2 linked regions of the Arabidopsis thaliana genome follow. The protein of the gene in region 1 interacts with the protein of each later gene in a pairwise test. Each region holds a gene or a part of one and is shown on either strand. Other genes may lie near its edges. The genes, in order: AT5G65925 and ATB' DELTA.

Region 1 (15,594 bases):
TATTTGCCCAACAAGAGAGCTTGCTATTCAGGTTCTAATTCTCTCACAATTTTCTATATAGTCTGTAGAATATGCTAAAAGTGATACTTACTATACATCATTAATGTTTCAGTCTTATGGAGTGGCAAAAGAACTTCTTAAGTATCATTCACAGACTGTGGGAAAAGTTATTGGCGGTGAGAAAAGAAAGACAGAAGCTGAGATTCTTGCGAAAGGTGTTAATTTATTAGTAGCTACCCCTGGAAGACTTCTCGACCACCTTGAAAATACTAATGGTTTTATTTTCAAGAACTTAAAGGTAAACACAAATTTCTGATTTCAGTTTTGGGTATACTGGTATTGATTTAATGCAACATTTTTTATTCGTTAATTTGCAGTTTCTTGTAATGGATGAGGCTGATAGGATATTGGAACAGAACTTTGAAGAAGACCTCAAGAAGATTTTGAACCTTCTACCAAAGGTATTCTCGTGGCTTGCATAGTGAAGTCACCTCAACATTCTGAATCATAGAGATGTAAATTTCGTTTCATGTCAATGTGTTGTTGATAATGGTAAACCGTCTTTTTGTATTGCTGCAGACTAGACAGACGTCACTATTTTCAGCCACACAGAGCGCAAAGGTCTGCTTACCAATCAGTATAGTTTTCACTTAATTCTTTATTAGTGTCAGTTTATTAAAATTACTGGAACTTGATTAAACCATCAGGTTGAGGATCTTGCTCGGGTGTCACTTACCTCACCTGTTTATATTGATGTGGATGAAGGACGAAAAGAGGTAGCTATTAACACAATTTCTATTATCTTTTCTCGCAATTTACTTTGTGACCAAAACAGGCCTTTTTCAATTATAAGAAAACTGGAAAGTGCAGGTTACAAATGAAGGCTTGGAGCAAGGTTATTGCGTTGTGCCAAGTGCGATGCGGTTACTTTTTTTACTTACCTTCTTGAAGAGATTCCAAGGGAAAAAGAAAATTATGGTGTTTTTCTCTACATGCAAGTCGACAAAGTTCCACGCCGAGCTCTTTCGATATATCAAATTCGATTGCCTTGAAATCCGTGGAGGGATAGACCAGAACAAAAGAACTCCAACATTTTTGCAATTCATAAAGGCGGAAACCGGTATTTTGTTGTGTACTAATGTCGCTGCCCGAGGTCTTGATTTTCCTCATGTGGTATGCTTTCTTAACAACTTTAATGTTTTAATAATCTGGATTGGTTGGTCTTTAATCAAATTATTGTCTGCTTGTTTAGGACTGGATTGTGCAGTATGATCCTCCTGATAACCCAACGGTATGTTGCTTATAATTTAGGGTTTTTATGCAAACACGCGGAAGAATAAGGGATAAGAAATCACTCAAATTCTTGAATGTTACTTTTGATTTAGGATTATATTCATCGAGTTGGTAGAACAGCTCGTGGTGAAGGAGCAAAAGGAAAGGCTCTGCTTGTCCTAACTCCACAGGAGTTGAAGTTTATACAGTATCTCAAGGTAAATTATTTTCATTCAATAAAAACTTTGATAATTTTTCAAATTATAGAAATTTTGATAAAAGAATCTGTTTCCAACTGTATAATTTGCAGGCGGCGAAAATTCCTGTTGAGGAACATGAATTTGAAGAAAAGAAATTGCTCGATGTGAAACCTTTTGTGGTAAAACATTCTTGCTCTTTCAAATAAGTTTTACTACACTGAAGAAACAAAAGTTGAGAGATTTATTTAAAATGTTATTGCAGGAGAATTTGATATCTGAAAACTATGCATTGAAGGAGTCAGCAAAAGAAGCATACAAGACATACATTTCAGGATATGATTCTCACTCTATGAAAGATGTCTTTAATGTTCACCAACTCAATCTCACGGTAACCAAATCTGCAGCATACATATAACAATACGAAACGTCATGAAATCAGGAATACAATTTGTTTTTGTTTTCTGCAATTTAAACGTTAACCGAAGGTCTTTGTTTATGTGCAGGAGGTTGCGACTTCGTTTGGTTTCTCAGATCCTCCCAAAGTTGCTCTGAAGATAGATCGAGGAGGGTACAGAAGTAAGAGAGAACCGGTTAATAAGTTTAAGAGAGGTCGTGGTGGTGGTAGACCCGGCGGTAAAAGCAAGTTCGAGAGGTACTAAAAATACAGTTGCACAAACAACGTCATACTTAGTAGTATGGCACATGCCTTTTAACGAATGTTGTATCTTATTTTTGGATTCATTTACGATTGTGTTGTCTTAAGCTGTTTCCAGAGATATCAGACGAGATACCAGTTTTGTCCCCGTTACTTAGAAATATTGATCATTTTGTTTTGCGAATAAACTTGGTCTTATATATAAACATTGCAGTTTTTTTTACTACGGCTATATAGGTTTTGATAAAATGGAATATAAAAATTATTCACAACAAATTTCGGTAGCATCAGATATTTGCAAGACGTAGATTTAAATGTTATATATTGCCAAAAGAAACATTGGAGATCACATCACACTGCATCAACATCAAGCCAGTCGTTTGATTTTTTCTTCTCTTTTACCTCTTTTAGCTGAACCCAATCTGGTGATTTTTTGTCTGAAGAATCAGAACCAGAGTTAGTAAGGTTCTTGTAACTCACTTTCACGTCTCCTTCGTTATCGTCTTCTTCTTCTAGATCACTGAATGATACATCTTCTTCGTCTTCACCAAAAGGATGATTTGTGGTTGATCTTCCTCCAATGGCGCTAACTGATGAAGTCTCTTCATCATTCAACCAATCATCTGCATCGTCGTCGTCTTCATCATCCACTTGCACATTAATAAATCTAGATGAAGAAGCAGTGGATGTGCTTCTTTCTTCAATGACAGATTTGTCAACAATTTGTATCTCTTTGCTCTCAATAGGGTGCTTGTCTGTTTCAACGTCAGATGACTCGACTGGATTTACGATTTTAACAGCTGCTGTTTCTGGTGAAGGAGGCACAGTAAGAGGTTCCACAATGACAGTATTAGCTTCAGAACTCCCTGCTTCTACAGGTAATTTGCTTCGTTTCTGTAGTTCCTGAGATAACATTGATCTTGCTTCGAGTACCTTCATAAGCAAAGGCAAAAAAAATTAGTGACAGGAACAATAAATGATCTAACTTTATCGCAGGAAACCTGAAGTAGCACCACCTAGAAGCTTACAAATCTAGCAAACCTGATTGACATGCTACAACTCTTCACTTATGAGGATCACTGTTTTGGATTACCATATAACTTTCTAGAAGAGTATGATTAGCATCAGGCATAGGGTTACAACTATATACAATGTGAAAGGCATAAACTTGAAAACAAGGAAATAGGTAGACATTTGTAAGCAATGGAGTTGAGAATCCAAACTTACCTGAGGAGTGGAGAGAAGCAAGGCATGGTCTTTACTGAGTTTAGGATGCACAAGAACAAAGTAAATCCTCCAGAAGCAATTCTCAGTCATATATTCAGGGCAAAGCTCAATCCTCAAAGAAGCCAAGCTCGGTGCTAGCCTTTCTACAGCTAAAGCGTGCTCGTATTGAGCATCGGCCAATTCAAAGTCTGAAAATTGATTTAAAAACAGACAATTGAGAATAACTGAAACACCCAATACCCCAATCATGAAAGCATATAAACTGAAAACAAAATCAAACTTGAACTTCACTATTCACAGAAACAATTTCAGATATATAAGGAAAGATCTGAAACTAAAACTTACCATCAAAGCTATCGTCGTCATCAGGTAAAGGAAAATCCAACCAAGTCTCAGGATGCATCGCAAGATCCTTCACAAACGCAACTAATTCCTCTGTAACTCCGATTACGTCGTAATCTTTCGGATCCACATCTTCTGAACTCAATTGTAAGAAATTCGAAGCGATCTTTGTGAACTCAGACACAGGTAAGTTCCCAGATAGTTTCGAAATCCCAGTCCTGAATCTCCCACCAATCTCAGCGAAATCGTTCTTAATCCCAGCGATTAGATCCTCATCTTCCTCCGGATGATCGGGAGTTTGATTTCTCTCCTGAAGATCCGGAGATGAAGAAGGTTGCGAGAGGAACGAAGCTACACCCCAAAATTGGGTTCTCAAGGTCTTGGTAAGTTCGCTAATGTCTTCCTTAACGCCTCGTGGAGACTGTGAATCCGATACAGATTCCGACGGCTGTTGATTCAGATGCTTATCATCATCTTCATCTTCCTCATCGAGCTTGAGTGAGTTCGCTATGGATCTAGCTAACCAAGCCATATCTGAATCTCTCTCTCACACACACATACACACAAGTTGCGATCGTGATCTTTTTGTTACAGCAGAAGCAAATCAAACTTGAGAGATAGATAATGAAATCTCCGTCTAAATCAATATCTAATTTAAATATTGTAATCTTTATCTTACTTAATAGCTTAATCCAATTTAGAGCCAAAGACGACATTTTGTATTGACTGTCAAAATATTACTGGACCTGGATAATAGCCCATATAGTTCAACTAAGGCCCATCTTAAGATAGCTCCTATTCGGGAAATTATTTATATTTTATTTTTTCTAACTTGAGACAAATTGTTTTCCAGATTTGGTAACTGTGTTTAGATTTTATTTCCAGACAAGAGCTCTCACATCAGTGACATCACACTCACTGATACAATGTTTCCAAGAGATATGTTCAGATTCTCATAGCCAATTAAATAAAAAACAGAGATAAACAAACAGTGAACTGTTGAAACGATTCATAAGTCAAATCATCCTTTCTTTTCAATTGTTCATTCATTTACACAGTGCATACAAATCAGACCAATGCATGTTCAAAAAATAAGACTTTTATTCCCCTCCACAAATCTGAAACCCACCCATATCTGTTTTCTAATCCTACTGTTCTATCAAGAATCACTAAGGGTTATAAGAGTGTCAAATAAAACGATTCATAGATCAATAATTTCTCCAATTATTATGACTCACAAACAGCTAGTAACTTACAAGAGGCCAAAAAAATGATTCCTTTCTTCAATCTATTCTTCTACTGAATAATGAACCAACCACAACAAAAAGATTTATACAGTTTACTTCTACTTAACTATTATTATTCAAATAACATTGCAAAATAGAATTCAACACATCGAAACTCGTTTCTTACTCTCATACTCCTTGAGCTTCTTCATTTCTATATACATCAACAAGATGGGGCAGATCCGTTGTGTGATTTTGACCCGAAAGGTGAAAACTTGATCAGTCTTTTATTGGATAGTTCTTGTGAGTTTACATTTGGAGATAAACATTGAGTCTGAATAATGTAGACTACATAACTTCAATAGCTCAGCTGAACGTTGCTTCAAAGCTGGATCACATCCACTTTGTATCACAAGCAAAAGCTTTGCAGCCAAACCAACTTCAACAGCAAGAGATGAACATTCTTCAGAAGCTAATTTGCAAACTGACCAAAGAATCGATATCGCATAGTTTGTGCATTTCTCTGATACCTTCATCAGTAACCTAACGGTATGCGGAATCGTGTTAACCGAATCTTTCAAAGCAATTCTGCCTTCGCTTTCTAAACATAACGAATCCAACACGAAAAGAGCTGACTCTAAACACTCCACATCCAAACATGGCAAAACATCAACCAATTGAGGAACTGCACCAATCCTAACCAACAAGTTCCTAACTTGTTTATGAACAGAAACCGATTTGAGCAGCGTTAACGCAGGCGAAACGCCGTTTCTTCGTCTCCTATCTTTAACCAATCTCATTAATCCAACAAGCAAACTATGACTAGAAACAAGCTCTGCTCTAAAACCTTTCTCCTCCACCAACCTTCCAATCAATCTAGCACAATTGATCTTAGTTTCAATCGAACCATCATTCAACATATCAACCATCAACGAGACCCTAGCTGGTTGCATCAATCCAGCTTTGGAATCAGAGTCAAGCTCAAGATTAACAAGAATAGCTATAGCCTCAGATCCAACAGCGTGAGAAGTAAAAGGACTTAAAAGAGAAGAGATCACAAAGACTCCACCTTCATCAACAACAGTCTTCTTAGCAATAGCGTGAGCCATCACAACTTGCTTAAGCTCGCTTAAAGCATGAACCTTTGCTTTCCCTTTAGCCTTTCTCAACGTACCCAGAATCTCAATAGCACGTCCTTGCACATCTTCAGATCGTTTCTTCATCAAAACATACTTCTGTGAAAACCAAGTGTAGATCAATTGGTGAAGAGTCTTGTTAGGAGTGACCAAATCATCCCAAAGCTCTTGCATCGTCGTTGGGCAAGTACAATGCCCTATATTGAACCATTTGAGAATGTTGGACCTCTCGTAGGTTTGACCAGTACACAAGGTCACTGGATCTTGCATCGGCTCTAGAGAGATAGGACAGATGAAAACAGAGGGTATTTCAGGTAATTCCAGCTCAGAAATCATCTCCTTCAAATCCAATTTCTTCTTCTCATCGGTAACAACCACCAGAAATTTCCCATCTCCGCCGCCAAGAACACCGTCTTTAACCGCCGAGTGTAGATCTAAGATATGCCCATCAAACCCACCGTTCTTAGAAGGCTGAAACATTGGCATTTTAAAAACAAAGTCTTTCTTCTTCCTTGCCTTTAAAAACGAGTCAAAAAGGAAACTTTCAACTCTCTCGTAATAATAATGGAGCAGTGTATCATAAATACATGATTAATGCTTCCCCACCTGCTAACCAAGAATCTGGATTGTTCCAAGAGTTTCAGAATCGATAGTGAACCTTGAAATCTCGGAACAGAACAAAAAAGTAAATGAATTTGTGAGAAATTTAAGAATACCCAGATGACGAATTTGTGAAAGAGGAAGAAGGAGAAGAGAATTGGTTGTGGTGTGTGTTTCGGTGAGAAGGAAATTATTAAAGCAAAGAGACAAATTAAAAAAAGGGAACGTTTCTTTTGGTTTGGACCAAAGATTTTCTCTTTTTCACTCTTTTTGCTGGGAAAAAACTAAAAAGCAGACAAAAACCCAAAAAAAAACACAGATTATGTTGACCGAGATTTTTACAGGCTATAGCCGGTTATCAACTCATCTCTCGACCCATGCGCCACACGTGCAAGCTCAGATCCTGAGGTTAAATACCCATTTTGTCCTTGGCTTGACCCATATGTACCCATCTTTAGCTAAAAAAAAAATTGAGGTGTTTTTTTTTTAAATATTTTTAGACCAAATAATAAATCTTCATATTGATTTTGTGTTCCATTGAAATATCATGTTGCTTAAAAGAGCACTCTCTTGGGTCTTCCCTTTAATTTTTGCTACTGAAATCGATGTGTTGTCAAAAACAATAAAGTATTATCTCAGTAAATTAAGAAGAAAAATAGATGAAGGGGGTATTATGGTCTTTTAGACGATGAGCAAAGAAAATCCCGCACGTAAGTAAAAAAAGCTGCTAAGTAAACTACAAATACCCACGAGGACAGGTTAGGGTCACGTGCGACGTTCATTTCAAGGCCTAATTACTTCATTAACCTTTTATTTGAATCATCATTATCATTGCTATAAACAATTCTCTATTTTTTCAAACAAAAATCTAAAAATCTCGTTTTTTATAAACACTTTTCTTTACAGTCTATATATTCTAGAAACTATGAAGAATAATTGCAGTAATGAGTAAATACATGGAAAAACAAAAGCATTACTCTTTCTCGTTTCATACTATTGAAATGGAACATATTTGCTTAAACAAATCCGTAGTATTACTCCCACTTAATTAGAAGAATAACAACAATTTTTTCTCTGTAAGAACATATTTTTCAATTTTTAGTAAGTTTATTTCCTAGATTGGCACGAAAAAGAAAAAAGAAAAAGTGTAAATAAAGAAGTATGGGGTCCACTACATGCAAAAGATCCAGCTAGACGTTTGACCATATGACAGTGTGTGTTGCTTTGACTGTACGCCTCGATCGTGTCTCGGTTGTCTTTGACTGCTCTGTCACCACTTATATCCTTCCACGTCTCTCTTTTCGTTCCTAATCTTCGGTATTAATGAATGTTGTTAACTTTTATTAATACTACAAATTTAACTAAATGAAGATAAATTTTAATAAGCGAAAATTGATGGGAGTGTCAGCAGAGAGATCTGAGACCCATGTGTTGTTTTTGTTGGAGTTGAGTACTCTGCCAGAAATGCAGAATTTTGATATTCCAACCAAGTTTTCAAATATCACACGGATTCAATCTTAATTATGTGTTATTAACAAAAGTATGATTCACTCAACTAGTTTTAGTTCTACAATTAATTGCTAGTTTATTTTTGAATTCTTAGTATTTTTAATTTATAGAGTATGTTATCAATGGCTATTGATAGGCAATGAATTCATTGCCAATGAATGATCTCAATGTTGTCGATGTTATGAGTTTCCCGGTCAAACTAGTAAACTTAAAGCGGACCGGCAAGAGTTTTAAGTCGATGTGACGTGTTTGTAATAACGACTAAAACCATGTGAATTTTCATATTGATTGTGACGATAATACAATTAGTATTTTTAACTAATAAATGGCTGTTTGTATGTGCTAGAGAAGGGACCTAGTGACCATGACTACAGGCTGGTTAGGGTTGTTCTAAATATTGTTTGATGAACAGAACACATATCAGGACATTTATATAATTGTTGTGCCTAGAGTTGCCCTGCATAATTTTCAATTTGCTAAATTTGTTTGATTATTTAACTTAGAAATGAGTTATTGAGATTGTCGTATTTGAATAATTACATCACATTGCGCTTTGTATTTTGTTTCTAAGCTACATAGACTGTCACGTGAGTCCTAAACTCGTAGATTATTTAACATGTTGTTTCGCTATTTTTAGGTTAGTGATACAAATTATGATTAATTTTTCAGCAGATCATAATTTAACTTGATGAATTGATTTATTTTTCGGGATATATTCGTTTGCGAATTCATATAGTATCATCATGATAATTGGATAACATAGAACTCGATTCACGATATTATTGGGTCTAAAACTGAAAATTTTACCATGCCTACGATTATCAGAAAATATAATAATGTTTGTGTTGTTGGGCTGTGAGGGCTTCGAAATGGTACATCAAAATGCTGTACACGGCCTTCGTGAATGATAGGATTTAAGAAGCCCAATAAGCTATGCAAAAATATAAAGATGCAAAATCGAGAATTTTTATTGTCGTTGTTAAAGATGCAAATCAAAAATTTAATATATCTCGTCCTAGACATACAGGTTACAAATTGACTTTCGAAAACTTTATTATGTGGGGCAAGTTATAATTGGAAATTATAAAAGTGCAGATAGATATGTCAGCGATGAATTTATTGCTTTCATTTCAAGTTGCCAACAACATATTGAATCCATTGTCAAATATCTCTATAGAAACAAATCAAGTTGAAGCAAAATCTTTCTTATTTGACAAATTGGTTTTAAATTTTGATAGTGAAACTGGTAAATCAAGTCAACTGTAACCACCAATTTCTTATATACTCTCTTTTCCTTCCAATGAATCTCTCACTCCCCCTAAATCATTATTTCAGTATTTTTAATGCAAGAAATTTGGTGCCATATCTCAATCCATATTAATTATAATAATAATTTCGACTTTGATATTTTTGTTGTTGTACGCTTTGATAACGTGTTTAAAGACATATAGACGTGTACTTTGGCAATTGTTATTTGACTATTGAGCTTGTAAGCAAGTTTAAGCTTCAATGGATAAATACTTCAAGAAATTTCTAAAAAATTAATACTAATTAAAACTGCCGGCCCTTAAGATTACAACTTCAACCTTATTTTGACTTAACCAAAGTAAATTAAACTATAGATTAATATTTTGTGAATTTTTAATAAGATAAGTATCACCAAACCGTAAACATCCAACTAGATACATTTATATATACATACCCTAATAATTATTATTTCTGAAATGCATTTAAAACGAAGTCTATCATACACGGCATCTTCCTGTTCTAGTCGCATCTCCTCTCTCTCTCACTCTCTCTGTAATCTCTTATATCAACTTTTTTTTATTCCACTTTAAATCATGAAAGCTAAAGAAATGAAGAAAGAAAGCAATTTAGCAAGGTTGGTGAAATCTCCGGTTCGTTTCTTGATCATGGCACGTGACGCTTACATACGTAGCATGACGTCATGCTCCGCCGGTTTCATCCGCGGTGGTGGTGGCTCCGGCGCTTTTGGCTTACCACCCGGTAATTTCCAAATCTGCGAAGCACCAACCACCGTTCTCCCTCGTAGCTTCACCCTAAATTCGGCCACGACAACACGTGAACGTTGCCGGTTTGTCACACGTGGCGCCAGCAGCGGAGAAATCACGGTGGAGACGACGGCTATGAAACGACAGATGGATCTCCGGAGAAATTATAGTTGTATGGTTATGGGAAGGATTGATGAAGAGAAGGTTTGTGATCAGTTTGAAGAAGAGGATTATAGCAAAAAAAGAAAAATCGGTGGAGTTTTCACTACTCATCAACAATAAAAGAAAGAAAATGAAGATGACCATACTCATTTTCGTTTCTTTCTTCTTCCATTTCTGGTTAGATACAAAAACGCTAAACAGCTGAAAGAAATTCATTTTGTGTGCATTGTTCAAGTGTGCTTATAGACTTTCTTGCTTGTATATAAATTTCAGTACGGAATACACAGTCTAGATTGCAGACATAGTGAAAGTAGTCCTTCATTGTGTCAATTTCGACATTTTTGAGTTACGTTTTCAACGAACACTGAATTAGTATTAATGCGAGACAGATGAGAAATCATGGAATGAAAAAAAGTTTTATTCAAAAAAAAAAAGGTCAAACAAAAAGAGATTTTTTTTTTTTTTCCTTCTTCTAGGCATTAGAGTAGTCCTTCAACTTTACATCACCCAATGTCAACGTATGGATTACATTTGTCTTGCGTGTAAATCCTTAAATTTTACTGGTGAATTTTTGTTATTTCTCCAATCCACAAAATGGAATTTATAGTCTAGTTTTCCCTTAAATTAAAAGTTTGAATTTTTAGTCTCCGTATACCATAACTTTTGACATTATGGGGTTATCTTTATATGTTTGTATGGTTCTCACCAGCTTCATATAATATCTACGAATTTTTTTTTTTTTTTTTCATTTCTTGTAATGAAGATCTCATCAAAAGAGAGAAAGTTTGAGACATATAGGACTACTCTTCGATAGAAACTCTACTATAAAGCAGGAACTTCCTACAAAAAGAATGGTGAAAACCAGTGATACTATAGTCTCAATTTCACCTAGACGAATTTCATGTCAGCTTTCTTCAACTATCTGCCTCATCTTTTCGTGTACGATCTTCCTCAATATCCACCAAGTCTTCTTCCTCACCTTTTTTACCGGCTTGCTCTTTCCAGTATGCTACCAACTTCTTCAATCGCACCATCTCTTTGGATGATATATGTTTGCTGGGATCATTCACGATCGTTCTCACTCTCGATGCATATCTGGAATCAAAGGAGGAAAAAAAACAATATGGATTATCCATTTTTACACTAAGCATATTTGATTTATGTTATATATATATGGGAACTCATGACTTACAGAAGAGAATTGTACGTCTCGTCCAAATTTGATTCGGCTGGAGACACATTAACAAACATTAACGTCTTGGCATTGCCGCCCAATGAATCGCTCATCAACATCGTTAGCTTGTGATTCCTATAAGGAATATGCTGGTTGCCAGAAGATAAAGCACCAATAACATCACCTAATGCAGAAAGTGATTTGTTGATACTTTGAGCTTCTTTGAGTTGACAACCAGCTGAGCCCGACTTTTTAACTCTCTCAGAACCAGCAAGATCCACAAAACTCAGCTGCAAATAACAAACAAAAATTCAGAATATTGTAGAAGATACCACCATGATCAGGTGATATGGGTTTAACAATGGAGGGCATATCATTGACTAATAATATGGATTGTGTACATAAAGGTTTAACATTTTGTACCAGACCAAAGATTTGAGCTGTAAAATAATATCTCTCTTAAACAAGATTAATGTTACTATATTTTTCTTCGGTAGACTAAGCATGAAAATCTAAAGAAACTCCTATTTCCTTAAAATCCCTAAATGCTACTAAATCCTGTGAAAAATGATAATGAGTCAATAAAGAAAAACATAGTGAATTTTGTCACCTTGCCCCTCGCAGCAGACTGGGTTTGAAGATCAATACTTTCAATAACAACTGATAATATGAGGTGAGATCTTGAGCTTTCTTCATTCATATTTGTTCCAGAAACATGTCGTCGTTCCGATCCCCGTTCAAGAATCATTCGCAGTTCCTCCAAAGTTGATATAGGAATAGTTGTCACATTCTCTACAAAGACCATTCCCTGAGAAAATATTTTATGCATAAGATCAAACTTACGTGTCTACAATCTAGTTATAACCTAGTTAAAATAGATATATCTCACAATACCTTTGAATCTTTTTTAATCTCTAGTTTCAAGCGTCTTGCACTTTTTGGTAACAAAAGGTCTACAAGTGTGTCTTGATAAAGTTCCACCATATATGCCTGCATAACTTTTTGTAGTCAGTTGATGTCATAATCTTTTATCACATCATCTATTAGGATAACAAATTACCTTTAGAGAAAATGAAAATCTCTTGCTATCTCGCTTTAATATGTTGAACAGTTCCTTTGTAGCTCGAGGTGTGAGTCCAGGATTGCTCTCATGCCCATATATAGTGAAAGTTTTTCCAGAACCAGTTTGACCATATGCAAAGATGCAAACGTTATACCCATCTACAGCCGACTGTACCAAATACTGTTAAAAGGAAAACGATGTTAGTAACCACAAGAAAATAACAAAGGATGAAAGGTAAATGAACACAGTTACATATCAATAATACCTTTGTGTCTTCAAAGATATCATCTTGACTAGCACGCATGTCAAATACGCGATCATATATGTGTTGCTTTCTTTTGTCGTCTTTCCATGGATGTTCAACAGTAAACTCATCCACAGTTGTCAGCATTTGTTTTTCCCTCTCTGAACTCTCTTTTTCATTTAGAGGTCTTATTCGACAATAAACTCTAATCTTCCCTTTCATATCTACAATCAAATAAAAATGTTAGTAAAATTCTTTTTTAAAAGCAATGAACATCATTGTACATACTTGAGCATTATGTTACCTTCTATGGTATTATAGTATCTTTTCCTTAAAACTTGTTCTTCCTTATAAAGTATTTCTAGCTCAGCAAGTTGGGCTCCTTGCATTTTCAAAATGGCAGCTGTTTGCTCATTTTTTCTGTCAATGTCCTAAGAAAATGAAATTGGAATGTAAACACATCCCTCTACTTCAATTTTGAATCGCGAAAATACATTATCATCATTCAAACAGAAACAAAATTAAATAATGAAGAAGACAAAAGAGTACCATTACCTCTTTCATTTCTCTTAACTCCTCAAGTTCTTTCAAGTTATTTTGCAACAGCAGCATGTCAGAATTCTTACTTTCAATCGTAGACTCAGCACTATCCAAGTCTTGAGCAAGTACTTCAAGCTTATTTTCAAGTTCAGAAACTCGAAGCTTTAACACCTTTTTTTCTTGTTCATATCTCTTTTGATGAATTTCAACCTGAAATAATGAGATGTCAACAATACGCAAGTATTTGATACTTCTCAATTTGAAATCTTCAATAAATCTAATACATAGAATTCACCTCCTCTTTTTTCTTCTTTTCAATATTGAGATTTTGCTCCAATATCTTGTTTTCACTCAACAACCTCTTTGAATTATCAACTGCGACATGCAATTCCTTATTTCGAACTTCTAACTCCTTTTGGATCTTGTATAATATCTGTGACTTAAAATTCATTGTCAAAGGAAAGCAGAATTGGAAACAAAAAACAACAACTCAATGATTACAATGAATTAGATTTAAACACATAATATTCACCTGATTATTCATTTCGGCTAATTCTGATTTTGTCTCTTTACTTGATTTTGTGTTGCCCGACTTTGCCAACCTTGCTTCCATTCCTCGCAGTTCAGACATCAAGGACTATAGCATATATAGAATAAATCATTAAATAACTTCAACCAAGCATCAAAAGAAAGACAAAAGTTAGGTTATAACTAACTTGAATAGTTGTTCCCTTCTCGTCACACAATGACCTAAGTTTATCTCGGTCTAAAGTAACCTCCAACAATTTTCTCCTTTCAAGCTCCAAACCATTGTGTATAGCTTCTAACTCTTCACGCAGAGTAACTTCTTGCTGATTTTTCTCTTGTTGTTCATCCATCAACTATACAACAACATAAAACATACGAATAGTTCATCAGCATGCCACTCTAAAACAAAAGAGGTCATGGTATAACATTCTACATACAATAACATAAGATAGGAGGGTGATATATACTGAAATATCTCAAGACTACCAAGCATAAAAACCATGAAAAAATCCAACTACAATAAGTTATTTCATGTATTTAAACAAAGATCAGCCTCCCTCTATTATATTCAATTTTACATTGAAGAATAAATAAGAAATTTGTTAGAATGTGTACCTTCTCAATCTTCTTTTGGGACTCTTCATAAGCCTTAGACAAATCTTGCAAACGTTTTTCATACACTTCAAAATTTTGCGGCTTAGAACTACAAGATATATCTCCATTAACCAAGCTATTGGCAGCAGATCGAGCTTTGGAGTAACGACGCAACATGACATCATTTATATGTGTTTGCAAAGCAACACAAATTTCTTCTCCCTACAAACATACAAGTTACCCAAATTGAATATCTCATAAGGAATTGCTTCATAATATAATGATCCACAAATAGTGATGTTTAAACCTGTTTTGTCTCGAACTGAAATATGTGAAGAACACCAGCGACTCTCATTTTGAAAAAGACAGCAGTGTTACTGCTGCCAAATTGCATGATGTCACGTAGTTCAGCAGAGTGCAGATATTCTTTAGGAACCGGTCGAAAAAAGTGAACCTACAAGAAAGCAAACAACAAATTCAAATCCAACAACATAGATTTGAATTCCAAACAACAATAACAGTTTTTTTAAAGTCATAATGTATAACATTTATATTGAGACTAACCCCACGTTTGTTGATACCCAAAATGATTCGCCCAGGTAAAAGACCGATCGGATCATCTATCTTGCGTACGCTAAAAAAAACTGAATTCCCGTATGGCAGTGCCTTCAGTATCCGTAGAAATTGTTGTCTTGCATCATCTTTGGTCACGTTCTCCTACATGCCCACATACACATACGAAATATCATTTTACCATGCCATCACTTCAATGGGTTTTTATTTGCCAAAGGTATCTAGAAAGGGGAAGACAATCAAAATGCATAGAACTATTCCTACCATTGAACGGTAGCGAGCAAGGATATCCAATTCCCATTCACGCTTTGCTCGGGTTATTGCTATTTGTCTTGGCAAAAACCGCTCAAGAAGTGATGTCCAATCACTGATATGTGATACATTGAGAAAGGAAATGATATTGTTAAGGGAGGAAAATTGGAAAAATAAAGTATCGGACAACTAAAATAAAGTCAATGGCGGAGCTTAAGAAAACTAACATGCATGACTCTGGACTATTGACAAACCCAATCCCAACAAGAATTTGCAAGGCACAAA
Region 2 (16,193 bases), on another chromosome or scaffold:
AGTCAATCAGTTCATCGTAGTGATCTTTAGTCACTCCAAAGAGGCCACGAAGTTGTAAATGCTTCACTTGAAGCTTTCCCGCAGACTTCAGATCCCTCAAGACGCTCAAAATACCATCGATAGTTATCCTTGTGCATCCAGGCACACCAATCTGCCAACCACAAAACAACATTCGGTTTTAATAGGATCCCACAAATCAATTCAATTACCAGGCACTTCTATAAAAACTTACAATATTACTTATTAGTAATCCAAATACGCTTTAAAGTAAATTAAGGAAAGAAGCTCACCTTGACTACTTGTCGGTTGCGCGCCACCACCCGCTTAAGACAATCATCAGTAATTCTACAGCAATCTACGATCCTCAAACACTGCATAGTACCCTGAGCCCTCTCAGTTAAATGCAGTAGAGCCTCTTCCGTGATCTTCTCATTCAACGGTCGACAAATGTGGATATGCTTCCAAAGTAACGTGTCATCACAAACAGTAGTATGCAAAGACTTGCAAACCATACTAACTGAAAGAAGATCCTTCCCTCGCAAGTGATAAAGACAAAAACCAATCGCTGGATGAACATACGCATCCTCTTCTCCATTATTGCAGCGATCACTACTTCCTACAACTTCACCATTCCTCGCATTCTCATGGCTCAATACCTCATCAACACTACTAGCAGATATGAAAGCACCATGACAAGATCCATCACCATCTAATGCCCCTCCAAACCCATTATTTTCCCCACTACTTTCAGGGAATTTACATGTGGAAAACAGAGACCCATCAAACGCCCCACCAAACAATGACTCTGATCCATAACTGTAACCACTACTCTGAAACTGCATTGCATTGTTCCAAAAGAAACTCAATCCAGCAAACAGCTGCTGACGGTTTCCATCACCAATCCAAATGTCATCTCTTCTTCTTCTTCCATATTGGTTATTATAATCATCCTCCAAATCCTCAAGCCATCCAGTAATAGCCGTGAAAGTATTGTTGATATCCATACCAAACGGATCAGATGGCAAAACATCAAGTATATCAACAGAAGAAGCATCTCCTCCAGTATTCTTCCTTCCATTATCGAAACTTGAACACCAATTCCCATTGGCTATCATCATTGGTTCCTCAGATAGATGAGAAGAAAAAGGTCTATGTGAAAAATTTAAAGCCATTTCTATTAATCTCTATATACACTTTAAACCTAACAAAACCAAAAAAATCCCTCTTTTGTACACAATCCCTAGAAAAACTCAAAACCCCCTAAAGAAGATAGATCAGATCCGAAGATAAACTAAAAAGTTATTTTTTTTTTTGGATAATCGAAAGATGAATTAATAGATCTATGGAGAGAAAAAGGAAACTCTTGATTTCAGATGGCAACAAAAAAATACTAGGCACCAGAAATTTTGAGAGCTTCCTTGGAACCCTAAAAAACCCTAGAAAAGAAATTCGAAATTGAGACGTATTAACAACCGAATTTGGGTAACACAAAAAGAATGAATTGAATAAATTTGATTTTTCCTTTTTTTTTTTGTTTTCCTTTTCTTTTTTCTCGAACAAAAACTAAACTAGGGTTTTCAGAAATTACGAAACCTAAATCCTAAACATTATCAAAGAAGAAGAAAGATACGAATTTGATTGAATTGAAGAAATTGAATCACCAAAGAAGAAGAAGAACAACGCGATCAACGGGAAAGCCAAACCGAACCCTCGCCGCGAAATTAAAACAAGATCTCTTTTTTTGTGTGGGGGAAATCGAATTGTAATCAAACGAAGTTTTTGATTCAATCACTTTGGGAATTCAAAGAAGAGAGAAAGAGAAAGAGAGAACGGGTTGGTGAATTTCGTCGACCGAGTCAAGAAGAGAGAAAATAATGGAAACGACGAGAAAATTGTGCGAAAAATCTCAATTTATTTTATTTTTAGGGGTTGAGATTTTACGAGGGAGAGAAAAATAAAAACTATTGGAGACAAAATCAATTAAACAAACTTAAATAATAATAAAAAAGAAAGATAAGATTAGAGTGAAATCGTCAAAATCTTTAAACACGTGTCATTTTTTTTGTTTTTTTTTGTCATTTTTCAGTATGAAGATAAACCAGGAATATATGATTTTTTTTCTTTTCTTTTAACATGGATTAATACCAGAAGTGTTTGAGCTAAATATATTACGATGATATTTATCTATCTGCATATAAAAATAAATGTGATTACAATAACAAAATAAAAATAAATAAAAAGATAAATGTGATTACGATGAATAATTCTACATAAATATTAATTTTACTGTGCATTTCTCTTTGTAACGTTCAGATCTTCAATAGACAGTTTTATATGTATAATAAACTTTAATTATTGTAAAAAACATTATATTTTATTGTTAGTAAAATGTTTGTTTAGTATCTTTTTAGTTTGTTGATTTTAAATAGAATTAATTTTGTCTATTGAAACTACTTTTTTTTTTCTTTCTATTTTTGTTTTGATGTTGGTTTAGATAAATTCATTATTGGGAGATTTTGAAAACTATCTTGTTTTTGAGTTTTCATTTGAAAAATACATCTTTTTCTATTTTAAATAAAAATTGTAATTCTTGATATATAAGATGACAAATTTATCCAGATTTAAAATAAAAGTTGTTTTATTCATAAATTAAAACAAAATTCGAAATTTAGAAAAACAAAATTAAAATAAAATAAATTCGAATTCTTAATTATGTTTTCAACTATTTTTTGAGATAAAAAGTTATTGGTTTTAGATATTATAAAATTTTGAAAAATATTCTAAAGTCTATCACCTAATAAACTTGTTTGCTTATTTTTTTGGACGAAAATTTGTTTAAAATATTTAAGATAAAAATTAAATTTGAATTCATATAAAGTCTATCACTTTATTTATTTTATATATTAAAATTTTATGAAACAATATTTACAAATATTTCTAAAAAGTCTATCACTTGATAAAGTTTAATTTTACTTTTTGGACAACATTTTGTTTAAAAATATTTAAGATAATAATTATCTTTAAAATTATTAGTTACATCAAATTTGTATTTATGATTTTTTTTTTGTTTTAAGTTTTAATTTTTTTTTGTTATTTCCTAATTTTACTGAAGCTGTTTTAGTACTTTATATATTGAAAATTAATTGTTTAAAAAAAGAAATAAAGATAGGGTATTTTTCAAATGAAAACCCAAAAATAGGTCATTTTTCCAAATTTATTCATTAAATATTCAGTGCCATGAGTTTGAGACATATTTATTTGGTAGATTTATATACCTAGAAAGTGGAACAAATAATGTTTTGCTTTAAAAACCACAAAGATTCACAATAAAAGAATATAAATAGATGTGATATAGCAATAAAGATAGTTGTATCTTGTACATAGATAAGCTTTAGTAAACAAAAAAACAAAAAAAAATATCTTGTAGATAGATATCTTAAATACGATCCAATAAACCAAGGCAATATAAAATCTGAAATTATTTTTTTTTGTGAAACAAAAACTGGCATTTTAAAAGCACAAATCAGGTAAGAAATGTGTTCTTAGTTAATGACAACCAGTTATTAAAATCATGTCTAATGGTTTTTAAAAAATAAATAAGAAGGAAAGTGTACCAAATAATATTTGTTAATAAGTTCTATAAAACAACACGTAAAGTTTGATATATACCGTGTTTTAGCAAGGAATACTTCGTAGAAGAATATAAACTTGGAACATAATAATAAAAGATGAACTTAAAACTTCCAAGATTCGTCTCTTCTTTGTGACATATTCCAGAAATAAAAGAAAATAATTGTTCAGTGAACACAACAGAAAACGATTACTTTTTATAAGATATTTATTGGGTCAATAGTTTATAGAATAATAGAAGTCAAGTCATATTACAAAGTGTTGAAAAAAACTTTAAATAGTACAAATACGTCAAATGAAAATGTAACAATTGTTTTTTTTTATCAAACACGTTGAAACATGGTAATATTGGGCCCGTAAAGCCCATAAGGTCTTGAGAAGAGAAGTCGCCCATAATAAGGTTTGGACAAAAAAAATTAAGTCATTGGAGTCGTCGTCTGTCTTTCCCATATTAGGGTCTTCTTCTTCCTTTTACTCCTTTTTTTACGCTTGAAGCTTCTTCTCTTTTCTTCTTTTCTTCTCATTGAAGCTTTCCTTGTTGCAGGATTTAATTTAGGATTCACAATTCCAACACATACAAATTGTTTAAAAAATACAATAAGTCATAAAGTCAGAATACGTTAAACATTGAAAATGTGAAGTATAATATTTGGTTTTCTCTTCTTGTTTTTTCACAAGTTAAGAAGTGTCTGAAAAATAGTCATGGCTTCTTCTCAAAAGGTTTCTGATTGGGCCTTATGAGGTATTGAGAAAAGAGAAGTAGCCCATTAAGGTATTGAGAAAAAGAGAAGTAGCCCATTAGGTCTTGAGCAAAAAAAGAAGTTGAGTCGAGCAAGCAAGAGTCCCTGACTCAGTCCTCTTTTCTCAGCTGTCCAGAAAGTAGAAACCCTAAATTCGAAAATGGAAACACGAAATCGAACCATACATCTCACTGATGCGATATGGACGGAGATTCTAGCGAGGTTACCACTGAGAATCATCGCTAGATTCAAATCGGTAAGCAAAACATGGAAATCAACAATCGAATCAGTCTATTTCCGCCGTCTCTTTGTGTCTGTGCACCGAAAATCCTCAACCTCGTGGTCGCTAATGTGGTACGGACAAAAAGATCTCGTAGGTTTCCATGGATGCGAGACATGGGGTCTTCCAAAGTCTCTATCTTTTTACATCCCATCGTCTCTTTGTATTATCGAGGGTTCCTCCCATGGATTGGTTTTGATTTCAGAAAATGATGATGATTGTTGCTTTGTGGGTAATCCAGTTTTACAACAGTGGATCAAAATCCCTCCACCTCCAGTTCACTCTTCAGTGTTTGGTTTGGTGTCTCGCGTCGACGATGATGGCTTTGTTTTGGGCTTCAAAGTCGTTAAGTTAGCTGAAGTAATAGTGACGAATAACTATGTCTCGTGTTCTTTGAGTGTGTTTGTGTATTCCTCTGAGACTGGGATTTGGACTTGTAAGACTATTCACTGCCCTTATCAAATCACCAACTTTGGTTCTTTCACTTTGGATGGTACCATTTACTTTGACCATCTTAGTGAACCTGGAGTGCTCGTAGCTTATGATTTCTATTCTGAAATCTCCGATCAGTTTTGGGTTATACCTCTCCCGGATCATCCGAATCACGGCTTCAATAGCGACTTCAAAGGTGCTTTGACTACGTCCCAAGGATTTGTCATGTATATCAGAACATTAGCTCAATCTTCGTCTAATGTTTTCAAGGCTTGGAGGTTGAACAATGATTCAACTTGGCAACTTTTGTGGAAAATCGGCCTCCCGTCACTTATCGGTGATTATGTACCTATGGCAATGCATCCATTTGATAGTGACATTGTCCATCTTTGGAGTCAAGATCATCGTCATGTGGTATCATGGAACTTGCGGACTCAGAAGAATAGAATCCTCGGAGCTGAAGATAATGATGAAGATCATAAAGATTGTTACTTGAACCAGCCTGTTTGTGAGGAGTGTATGGATGAGATATGCGGCTGTAAAGCTTCTGTCAGGTTACTACAACTTGTTCTCCCACGGTGGATGGAATCGGTGCCTTGTCCTCCCCAAGTTGAGATGATGAATACAGCTTCGGTAATCTCTTACGTTACTTCAATGCAAGAGACAATGATAAGGAATTGGCTTCATCAATGATTTCAATATCTGCTTTTTTTTCTTTTCTCGTCTTTTGGTTTCTTTCTTCTATCTAGTACCATCTATGTAATGGAAGACAACCATATCCATATCATGCAATATTTGCATCTTCTTATTTTTGTATCAGTTCAATGACATGTTTTGCCATTTCATCTTTCTAAGTTGTTACACAAATTGTCACTTCCTTTGAACAAGAGTTTCTTCAATTGCAGTTTTATTCCAGCCGCACGTAGTTTCTTAAAGATATGTTATTCGATAGCTTTACCATATGTACTAGCAAAACGAACTAAACGACGGCGTACGTAGCGTAAAGTAGTGCCCGCTTCAAAATTTCGTAATCAAAAAACACAAGAAGACTTGGTAGCCCAATCCACATAATTAAATACTATTTTAAAACAAATAAATTAATTAAAAAAATAAAGTAGCAAAAAAGTACGATCGATGAAACTGAGACCGTTGGATCAAACCTATCGAATTATAAAAACTAGATCACGAGAATAATAAAAAGAAAAAGAAAAAAATAAAGCAGAAAATTCATCTCCAAAAAAAAAGAAAGAAAAATTCATACTTCCAAAGGAAAGGGGAAGAAAAACAAAAACAAAAAAATCTCAAGTCAACAAACAACAACGAAGGTCCGAAGAACTTTGAATGTTGTTATCATCATCATCATAATCAGAATCATCAACATCATCGTTGTATTCTTTTCTGGGTATTTTCTCTTGTTGACCTTCTAATTATGCCATCTCCGATTATCGATTTTTGTAGAGCAATCGTATTTTATCGAAGCCCTTGTTTCTGGTTTTAGTCTCTTGTCTGAAATCAATCTCAAAAAGGTTCTGTTTTTTCGGGGAAATGTGCAGCTTTTGATTGTTTCATTTTCCGATTGTTTCAGAAGAACTGGAATCGCCGTAAAGTTCGAATTTTTTTTTGTTAGATTGTACAAAAGGGTGTTGTGATTAAGGAAGAAGAAGAAGAAGAAGATAAAAAGGTTTTTTTTTTGGCTGTTGTTGTAATCTGGGAAAGTTTGGGATTTTGTATCGATCTCAGGTTTGTGATTTGATTCTGTTTCTAAAATTTATTAGGCTGATCTAGGATTTGAGTTTTTTTTTATATGGACTTTGCTTTTTTTCTCAGATGGTGAAAAGACGAAGAAGTGTGATTGTTTTGGGGATATGATTAAAGAACCTGAATTGTTCTGGTGTTGAGAATAAGAAACTATGTGGAAACAGATTCTAAGTAAGCTTCCCAACAAAAAGTCTTCAAAGCACGAACATCGTGGACGTGAACACGGTGGCCATTCTTCTTCATCTTCTCATACTTCAGGTGCCTCTACTTCCAAAAGCACTGATAATGGCGCCGCGAAATCGCATGCTAAGAACGCTTCTCCAGCCGGCAAATCCGCTGCTTCTGACTCGGGTTTTAAAGATGGGAATCTAAAGAGTAGTGGGAACAACAACAACAACAACAACAACGGTGTCTTTACTCCTTATGAAGCATTGCCGAGTTTTAAAGATGTTCCAAACACGGAAAAGCAAAACTTGTTCATTAAAAAGTTGAACTTGTGCCGTGTAGTGTTTGATTTCACGGATCCTACAAAGAACATCAAGGAAAAAGATATTAAGAGGCAGACATTGCTGGAGCTTGTGGATTATGTGAATTCTCCTAATGGAAAGTTTAGCGAAGTCGGTATCCAAGAAGTCGTTCGGATGGTCTCTGCTAACATATTTAGAACGCTAAATCCTCAACCACGGGAAAATAAAGTTATCGATGCCTTAGACCTGGAGGAGGAAGAACCTTCCATGGATCTTGCGTGGCCTCACTTGCAGCTTGTGTATGAGCTTTTCTTGAGGTTTGTTGCTTCGCCTGAAACTGACACCAAGCTGGCTAAGAGATATATAGATCAATCTTTTGTCTTGCGGTTACTGGATTTATTTGATTCCGAGGATCCTAGAGAAAGAGATTGTCTGAAAACCATTCTCCATCGGATCTATGGTAAATTTATGGTACACCGACCTTTCATCAGGAAATCCATTAACAACATCTTCTATAGGTTTGTTTTCGAAACAGAGAAACATAATGGGATTGCTGAGTTTCTAGAAATCTTGGGAAGTATCATCAATGGATTCGCTCTTCCCTTGAAAGACGAGCACAAAGTGTTTCTTGTTCGAGTTTTGATACCTCTCCACAAACCAAAATGCTTGCAAATGTATCATCAACAATTGTCTTATTGTATCACACAGTTTGTGGAAAAGGATTGCAAACTTGCTGATACGGTTATAAGAGGATTGTTGAAATATTGGCCCGTGACAAACAGTTCCAAAGAAGTCATGTTTCTGAACGAGTTGGAGGAAGTACTCGAAGCAACTCAGCCACCAGAATTTCAACGGTGCATGGTACCACTGTTTCGCCAAATAGCTCGATGTTTGAACAGTCTGCATTTTCAGGTACCTGTCATTCTCCATTCTTTCTGAAATAATAGCACCTCACATTTGTTTTTAAACTGGCGAATTTCCCCGTGCTTTGACATTTCCTGAAAAATGCTCTGTTGCTGTTAGTGTTGGGTTTGACATTTGCAGGCCATATCGTTTCGACATACTTTAACTGCATTAGTGTTTCACCTGTTTATGTTAGCCTATTAGATTGTTATATAAAAAGATCAAATGAAAGAGTTGGGTTTGTGGTAATGAAAGTATCTACGTATAGGACTGTTGTATTGTGTTCTGGATAATATCTGATGCAGTTTCTTAGCTAAATAAGGCTTATGGTTACATACTTTAATTGTGTTAGTGTTTCGCCAGTATATCTGTGTTACCTTACCAGCTTATGAGAAGTCGTTATAGCCTACCAGTTATATCAAACGAGCAAATGGAAGAGTTGATTTTGCGGTATGGAAAGTATCAATGTTTAGGACTGTTATATTCAGCTCTAGGTGTTACTCAAGGCAATTTCTAAGCTAAATTGATATAGTAAGGCTATTGTTAAGTAGAAAGTTACAAAAGAAGAAAAAGTATTGCGTTGAAGGGTATCTGTTTTGGCTAAACAGTGACTGCATACGATCTTTCACGGGAAAAGATCAGTCTAGTAGGTTCAGGATCTTTGTTTCAGTCTATTCATGCTCTGTCTGGTTTTCGCAGGTTGCAGAGAGAGCTTTATTCTTATGGAACAACAATCACATTGAGAATCTGATAATGCAAAACCGTAAAGTCATTCTTCCAATTATATTCCCAGCGTTGGAGAGAAACGCACAGAAACATTGGAACCAAGCTGTTCATAGCTTGACACTAAACGTGCGAAAGATATTTCATGACCTTGACCCTGAGTTATTTAAAGAATGCCTCGCAAAGTTCAAGGAAGATGAATCAAAAGCAGCTGAAACCGAAGCAAAACGTGAAGCCACTTGGAAACGTTTGGAAGAACTCGGAGTGCGAAAGGCTTCATAAAGTTAGAGTTGTAGAGAAGAAAGAGAGAGAAAGAGAGCTTCTGTATCTTCTATTGACATGTTGTTCTTCAGATACATACTTGAGAAGAGAAAAGTTTCATATTGGTCTCTTGGTTTGAAGGAAAAAGGAAACTCAAAGATGTAAGATTGTTCCTGTTTTGATTTCCATTATTTTTATTTCTTGTTTCCTCTTAAATCTTCCTGCTTGTTAAAATGGGTTATTTTTGCTACATTGTATGATCATCACTTGTTCCACTTTCTTGAGACTTGTCTTATTCATTCATCTTCTGCTTTCATGATACCTGCAAATATTGCACTTATAGGATTTGGCCTTTTGTATTTTCAGTTGTATCAGAAAAAAAATCGTATCTTTATAAGCAAAAAAACACCTTTTAAAAAAAGTTTTTTTAAGTTTTCAACAGAAACTCAAAGAGAGAAGACCAAATTGTTGGTTTGAGTATTTTGGGTTTGTGGATTTGGTTACGAACTCCATAAGTCTAGGAGGAACTCTGAAAAGATCTTCATGGAGAGATCGGTTTAGTGGTTGGATTTGAATCTTTTAATGGTTATGACTTCAACTAAAAAAACACTGTCGAGAGATGTTGTTTCTTGTCTTGGTCAGTGAAAATTTTCTCTGGTCTTAGGGTCTTCTCTCAGTCACCATCCTCTCTTTCTATCTCTCTCTCTCTTTACTCTCTAATCTTTATCCATTCTCTCTCTTCTTCTCTATGCCAACGAAGCAATAGCTATGAAAAGCTAAACCCTTTCCTTCTTCTTCTTCTTCTTCTTCTTCTTCGATTGTTTAGATTACTTGGGTTTGACCCAAGTTTGCTTCTTTCTATGATTCATCAATCTAGATCTTGCTATCTGGGTCCAGAAACGATTCACGCGCTTCATTCATGATATAAAGTTACTACCTTTTTTTTATTTTACCTTCTGGGTCATGGTTTTGTCTGCTTTTCGTCTTTTGCTTTTGTCTGGATGATTCATAATCTCTCGAGATCTATTATGTTCACAAGAGTTGTTCTTATGCGTGGTGAGATGATCTTAGGAGTGTTTCACTATCTTTCTTCAATTCGGGTTTTTAGTTTCTGAGATCTGTTTTTGAAGAATCTGATCTGAGTTTGAGGAAGTTTGACTAAATAGATCGAAGAAGATGTTTAAGCAGATACTTGGGAAGCTTCCTAAGAAAACTTCTGCTAAGTTTTGGGATAATGGTGAATCCCAAACTCTAGATAACAACAACAATCAAGGAGGAGGTGATGAAGTTTTAAGCCAGAGAACGTCATCAAATGGAGATACTAGTTTGGATTGTGTTTCTTCTTTTGATGTATTGCCAAGGTTGAGAGATGTTTCCATCTCTGAGAAGCAAGAACTGTTTCTTAAGAAGCTTAGACTATGTTGTCTAGTGTTTGATTTTGTAGCTGAGCCTCAACAGAACTTCAAGGAGAAAGAGATCAAAAGGCAAACACTTCTTGAAGTTGTGGATTATGTTATCTCTTCAGGGAATGGCAAGTTCCCTGAATCAGTTATTCAAGAAGCTACCAAGATGATTTCGGCGAATCTCTTTAGTAATCCTCATCGACAATGGAAGAACAAAACTCCTGAGGCATTGGATTTGGAAGAAGAAGAAGGATCTTTGAATCCTTCTTGGCCTCACTTGCAGATTGTTTATGAGTTCCTTTTGAGAATCGTTGCATCTCCCAACACAGACCCCAAGATATCCAAGAAATACATCGATCATACATTCGTTCTCAAGCTATTGGATTTGTTTGATTCTGAAGATCCGAGGGAAAGAGAGTATCTGAAAACGATACTTCACCGCATCTACGGGAGGTTTATGGTTCATCGCCCGTTCATCAGGAAAACTATGAACAACATCTTGTATGATTTTATATTCGAGACAGGGAAACACTCGGGAATCGCCGAGTTTCTTGAAGTTTTAGGATCCATCATCAATGGATTCGCTTTACCACTCAAGGAAGAACACAAGCTCTTTCTTACTCGTGTCTTGATTCCTCTGCACAAGCTGAAATGCTTACCAAATTACCATCAACAGCTTTCTTACTGCGTTATACAGTTTGTTGAGAAAGATTGTAAGCTCGCGGATACCGTTATTAGAGGGATGTTGAAGTACTGGCCTGTTACTAATAGCGCTAAAGAAATCATGTTCTTGAATGAATTGGAGGAGATACTAGAAGCAACTCAATTAACAGAGTTTGAACGGTGTATGGTTCCGCTCTCTCGCCAAATTGCTCAGTGCTTGAGCAGTTCTCACTTTCAGGTACAGTTAAGAGTTTATTAGGTACATTTACCTGATTCTTAGATTCTTGAATTGTTCATAAAATTCAACTGCTTCTGTGTTTTTAGGTAGCGGAACGGGCTTTATACTTATGGAACAACGATCATGTCACTAATTTAGTGAGACAGAACAGTAGAATCATTTTACCTATAGTGTTTCCCGCTTTGGAGAAAAACGGTAGCAGCCATTGGAATCAGGCTGTGAAGAACTTGACAGAGAATGTTCTCAAGGTTTTGTCCGATACAAATCCTGATTTATTCGAAGAATGTTTGCACAAGTTCCAAGAAGATCAGCAAAAAGCAGAAGATACTAAAAAGAAGAATGGAGAAACCTGGAGACAGCTAGAGGAGATTGTTGCTTCAATGGCGAAGTAAGAGTTTTTTCTGCACTTTACGTGATTCAACAAGAAATCGGTTTATTGTTTTGTTTTGTTTCCTTTACGCCTGAAAGGTATATACATTTACTTTGCTTTGCTTGCTTCATTTAAGTATCTGGTTTCGACTTTAAGACTAGTTTAATTCAGTTAAACAGTGTGAGATTTTACCTTTTTCAGTTCTTGATTTGTCTGTATACTTGGTTCATGTAAACATCTTGTTATGAAAACACGAATTTTCTATTGTCTGAAGTCACTTAGTTTATCAGTGAAAGAGATTGCTCTAATATAAAAATTGTTTCTGGAATAATGATTTCGTCCTTTAGTATACAGAGGATCTGTTGGCATTTTCCTGCAAGTATCTTTGGATTTTGTCTGTTAAAAGGTTCTGTTACAACAGGTTTATTCTTCTAACCAAGAAACCGAAGAAAAGCTCTCTGCGATGACTCTTAGTCGGTTTTTCGTCAGGAGGTTTCACCAGATGAGAGTTGATGTTGTCTCCAGAGATATCATCAAACCATCATCTCCAACTCCAAACCACTTAAAGAAGTTTAAACTCTCTCTTTTAGAACAGCTCGGTCCAACGATCTTTGGTCCTATGGTTTTCTTCTATTCAGCTAACAACAGCATCAAACCAACTGAGCAATTGCAGATGCTGAAGAAGTCGTTATCCGAAACTTTAACTCATTTCTACCCTCTCGCTGGACGGCTCAAAGGCAACATAAGTATCGATTGTAATGACTCAGGCGCTGATTTCCTCGAAGCACGAGTCAATTCACCGCTTTCGAATCTCCTACTAGAGCCTTCTTCTGACAGCTTGCAACAACTGATTCCTACATCTGTTGATTCCATAGAGACACGAACCAGACTGCTTCTTGCTCAAGCGAGTTTCTTTGAATGTGGAAGCATGTCTATAGGAGTTTGTATCTCTCATAAACTCGCTGACGCAACTTCTATCGGTTTATTCATGAAGAGCTGGGCTGCAATCTCGTCCCGAGGGTCGATCAAAACCATTGGAGCTCCGGTTTTCGACACGGTTAAGATCTTCCCACCTGGAAACTTCTCTGAGACTTCCCCTGCACCAGTGGTTGAGCCAGAGATCATGATGAATCAGACTCTTTCGAAGAGATTCATATTCGATTCTTCGAGTATTCAAGCTCTGCAAGCGAAAGCTTCAAGCTTTGAAGTGAATCAACCAACAAGAGTCGAAGCTGTTTCAGCTCTTATATGGAAATCTGCAATGAAAGCTACAAGAACAGTTTCAGGAACATCGAAACCGTCAATTCTGGCAAACTCCGTGAGTCTACGCTCACGAGTCTCTCCACCATTTACAAAGAACTCAATAGGGAATCTAGTGAGCTACTTTGCAGCAAAAGCAGAGGAAGGAATAAACCAAACAAAGCTTCAAACTTTGGTTTCGAAAATACGAAAAGCGAAACAGAGGTTTCGAGATATCCATATACCAAAGCTTGTAGGAAACCCAAATGCCACAGAGATCATTTGTAGCTACCAGAAAGAAGCAGGAGATATGATTGCAAGTGGAGATTTCGATTTCTACATATTCTCAAGTGCTTGTCGATTCGGTTTATACGAAACCGATTTCGGTTGGGGAAAACCGGTTTGGGTCGGGTTTCCTTCGGTTAGACAGAAGAACATCGTGACGCTTCTCGACACGAAAGAAGCTGGTGGAATTGAAGCTTGGGTGAATCTGAATGAACAAGAGATGAATCTTTTTGAACAAGATAGAGAATTGCTCCAATTCGCTTCTCTGAATCCTAGTGTGATCCAACCTTTTCTTCATGTTCTCTGATTATAAAAACCGGTTTAGTGAGCTAAACCGGATATATTTGTTGAAAAACTGGTTCTATTTTGACTAGCCGTTGGGAGGCCACTAAAAAGGTTGAAATTAAAATAACGGGCAAAATTTGGTGATGTAATAAATAAATAGTCCTGAAGAATCACCTTTTTATTATATACTAATAAATTCAGAAGTTATTTTTGTAAGTAATCTCATGTTAAATTTAAAAACAAAAAGAATTTTTGTCATATTTTTTTTTTTCATAAAGACAGTTTCATTACTCTCTATTAATATTAATTAAGCACTAAAAATAAAATTTAACTTGGAGCACACTCTCATAACTTAATACTAAAAGTTTAATATTAGTGTTTATTATTATTAACTAATATTTTTAAAAGAGGACAACAAGAATAACCATAATGATAATTGATAGCTTATACGTAATAATAAAATATAGTTCAAAATAATAATAAAATAAACATTCTATAAAATATACGTAATAATTATATACAATTAGATAATAAAAAAACACTAAACATAGTTCAAAACAAAACAAGGAAGATTAGAAAATGTAAATACATTATTTTATTTCTGTAAACAGTAGTATATATATAATAATTAAATGATTCCACAATTAGATGAAACGTTTTCTATAAATGACGTAATAAAAATAAGGGAAGTGGCCGTTGGGGAAATTTAAATCATATGCTTAGAGTTCGGACCTACTTTCAGATTTGCAGCCAAAGAAAAAGAAGCTAACAAAGATTTTTCAGTTTTCAGTTTCTCAGCGAAACCACCAGATTTGGGGATAAAATTAGGGTTTTTCGATCTCCAGAGAAAACAAAAAAAATGGGAGAATCAATTTGTCTTGTGAGATCTTTCTCGCAACCTTCAGAGTTTTCATCGCGTGAAATCAACGAGGTTAGTGCTTAAGATTTCTAAATCTACAATCTTGGATTTAGGGTTTTGATAATAGAGATTGATTTTGCTAGTGAAATTTCTGTGTATAGTGTGTTGTTTGATGAATCTGAAGAGAATTTGAGATTTGGTTTTTGGTTTTTGGCAGGTGGTACCGAATCGAGTGCTTACGGAATCAGTATCGTTTGGTAGATATGCGAATGAAACACTAGCGTGGGCGAGATGGTCAGCTTTTACTCAGAATCGTTACTTGGAAGAGGTTGAGAGGTTTACTAAACCTGGTTCTGTAGCAGAGAAGAAAGCTTTCTTTGAAGCTCATTTCAAGAACCGAGCTTCAGGGAAAGCAGCAACACAGACGAAGAAGATTGAACAAGTAAAGGTTAAAGATAGTGTTGAGATTGTTTGTGATATACCTAAGGATATTCTCGTTGATTCAGAAGTACCACTAGCGGTGAATAGAGAGGTGTCTAGTAATGAGGTGGACTCTGTTGTTCCATCAATTTCTGTAATAGATGAAACTGGTAAAGTGGAGAACTTGAAGTCAGTGGTTGTTCCTGATGAGGTAAATGCATTTCTGTTACATTGCAATTTCCTGTTTTTATTTTTTCTCTCTAAACGTCCATGGTGTTTTCAGGGCAATTCTACTTCTTTGAGCAAAGAAAGACCTCCTAGTTCTTCCGGATCGAAGGTCTCAAGCTCAAAACTGGAATCTTCCGTTGTTATAGAACTGGATCATTCACTTAAGAACACTAAAAAAGAGTCATCCTCGAGTAGTACAAGGTCACTTAGTGCATCGAAGAACCGAAGTAGATCACCTCCTGAGCCCATTCACATGTCAATCAGCTGTGTTTCTTCTAGTAATACCGAGAAAACTATTGTGGGGAGGCCCCAGAACGGTTCTAGGAGTGCAGTGAAAGCAGACAAGAAGAAGAGATCAGGTCCAAGTTCAGTTCACATGTCACTCAATTTTGCTTCTTCTACTCTTCGTACGACCAAAGAAGCCCCAAAAACACTGGCAAGAAACTCCACTACACAGGGAACAACTTCAACAAATGCTAGAAACAAACTTTTCCCAAAGATAAACGAACCAACGGGAGCTTTAAAAAGCTGCAAGAGACCATTGTCTCAGACATCCAAAGACGGTTCAACCAATGTAATTCTCTTCCCAAGTTTCTCTTCTTGCGTATATCCCAAGCATATTTGCTGAGACTGACTCTTACATATATTGCAGGCCTCTGCTGTCACGTTACCCAGACTTCCTCTTCTCAGTAATCTGCTATCAGAAAACAAAAGGTTACTGATCAAACCATCTTCAACACCAATTCATCGCTTTATACTATTACTTTATTATTAACTCAACCCTATAATTAACTTTGCTTCTTCTGATATACAGGAAAAACATATCTGTAAGGAGTTCAGTTTCATGTAGAATATCCAACAATGAGCAAAGAAAACCTTCTGTCGGGTAAGCGGTTTAAGTACCAACCTCTTAGAGAAATACTATCTTATGTCACTTACTGCAAATGGCCTGAGTTGGTTAATTGAAAGTGTTTGTGTTAGTTCCCTGATTTATGTGGACATAAGACGA

The links.
Region 2: the proteins of AT5G65925 (region 1) and ATB' DELTA interact in a two-hybrid assay, tested with the Arabidopsis thaliana proteins (one large-scale study listed by BioGRID).

Annotation. Positions count from the first base shown.
Region 1 is NC_003076.8:26,359,114-26,374,707, forward strand, and holds AT5G65925 (uncharacterized protein), read left to right. Parts: upstream 1-9,931; 5' UTR 9,932-10,008; coding exon 10,009-10,461; 3' UTR 10,462-10,741; downstream 10,742-15,594. Other genes in the region: AT5G65900 (DEA(D/H)-box RNA helicase family protein), read left to right, coding at 1-31, 113-298, 378-461, 580-621, 708-776, 871-1,173, 1,253-1,291, 1,386-1,490 and 3 more; AT5G65910 (BSD domain-containing protein), read right to left, coding at 2,479-3,060, 3,355-3,542, 3,700-4,228; AT5G65920 (ARM repeat superfamily protein), read right to left, coding at 5,210-6,544; ZWI (kinesin-like calmodulin-binding protein (ZWICHEL)), read right to left, coding at 11,256-11,436, 11,534-11,805, 12,126-12,323, 12,410-12,505, 12,576-12,758, 12,844-13,046, 13,127-13,253, 13,378-13,572 and 8 more.
Region 2 is NC_003074.8:9,507,371-9,523,563, forward strand, and holds ATB' DELTA (serine/threonine protein phosphatase 2A 55 kDa regulatory subunit B prime delta), read left to right. Parts: upstream 1-9,582; 5' UTR 9,583-10,370; coding exon 10,371-11,498; intron 11,499-11,584; coding exon 11,585-11,890; 3' UTR 11,891-12,193; downstream 12,194-16,193. Other genes in the region: AT3G26000 (Ribonuclease inhibitor), read right to left, coding at 1-151, 291-1,172; AT3G26010 (Galactose oxidase/kelch repeat superfamily protein), read left to right, coding at 4,531-5,775; AT3G26020 (Protein phosphatase 2A regulatory B subunit family protein), read left to right, coding at 6,993-7,928, 8,016-8,219, 8,352-8,384, 8,596-8,706, 8,910-9,215; AT3G26040 (HXXXD-type acyl-transferase family protein), read left to right, coding at 12,371-13,699; AT3G26050 (TPX2 (targeting protein for Xklp2) protein family), read left to right, coding at 14,537-14,608, 14,754-15,167, 15,240-15,758, 15,837-15,898, 15,999-16,070. UniProt on the Arabidopsis thaliana protein: The B regulatory subunit may modulate substrate selectivity and catalytic activity, and may also direct the localization of the catalytic enzyme to a particular subcellular compartment.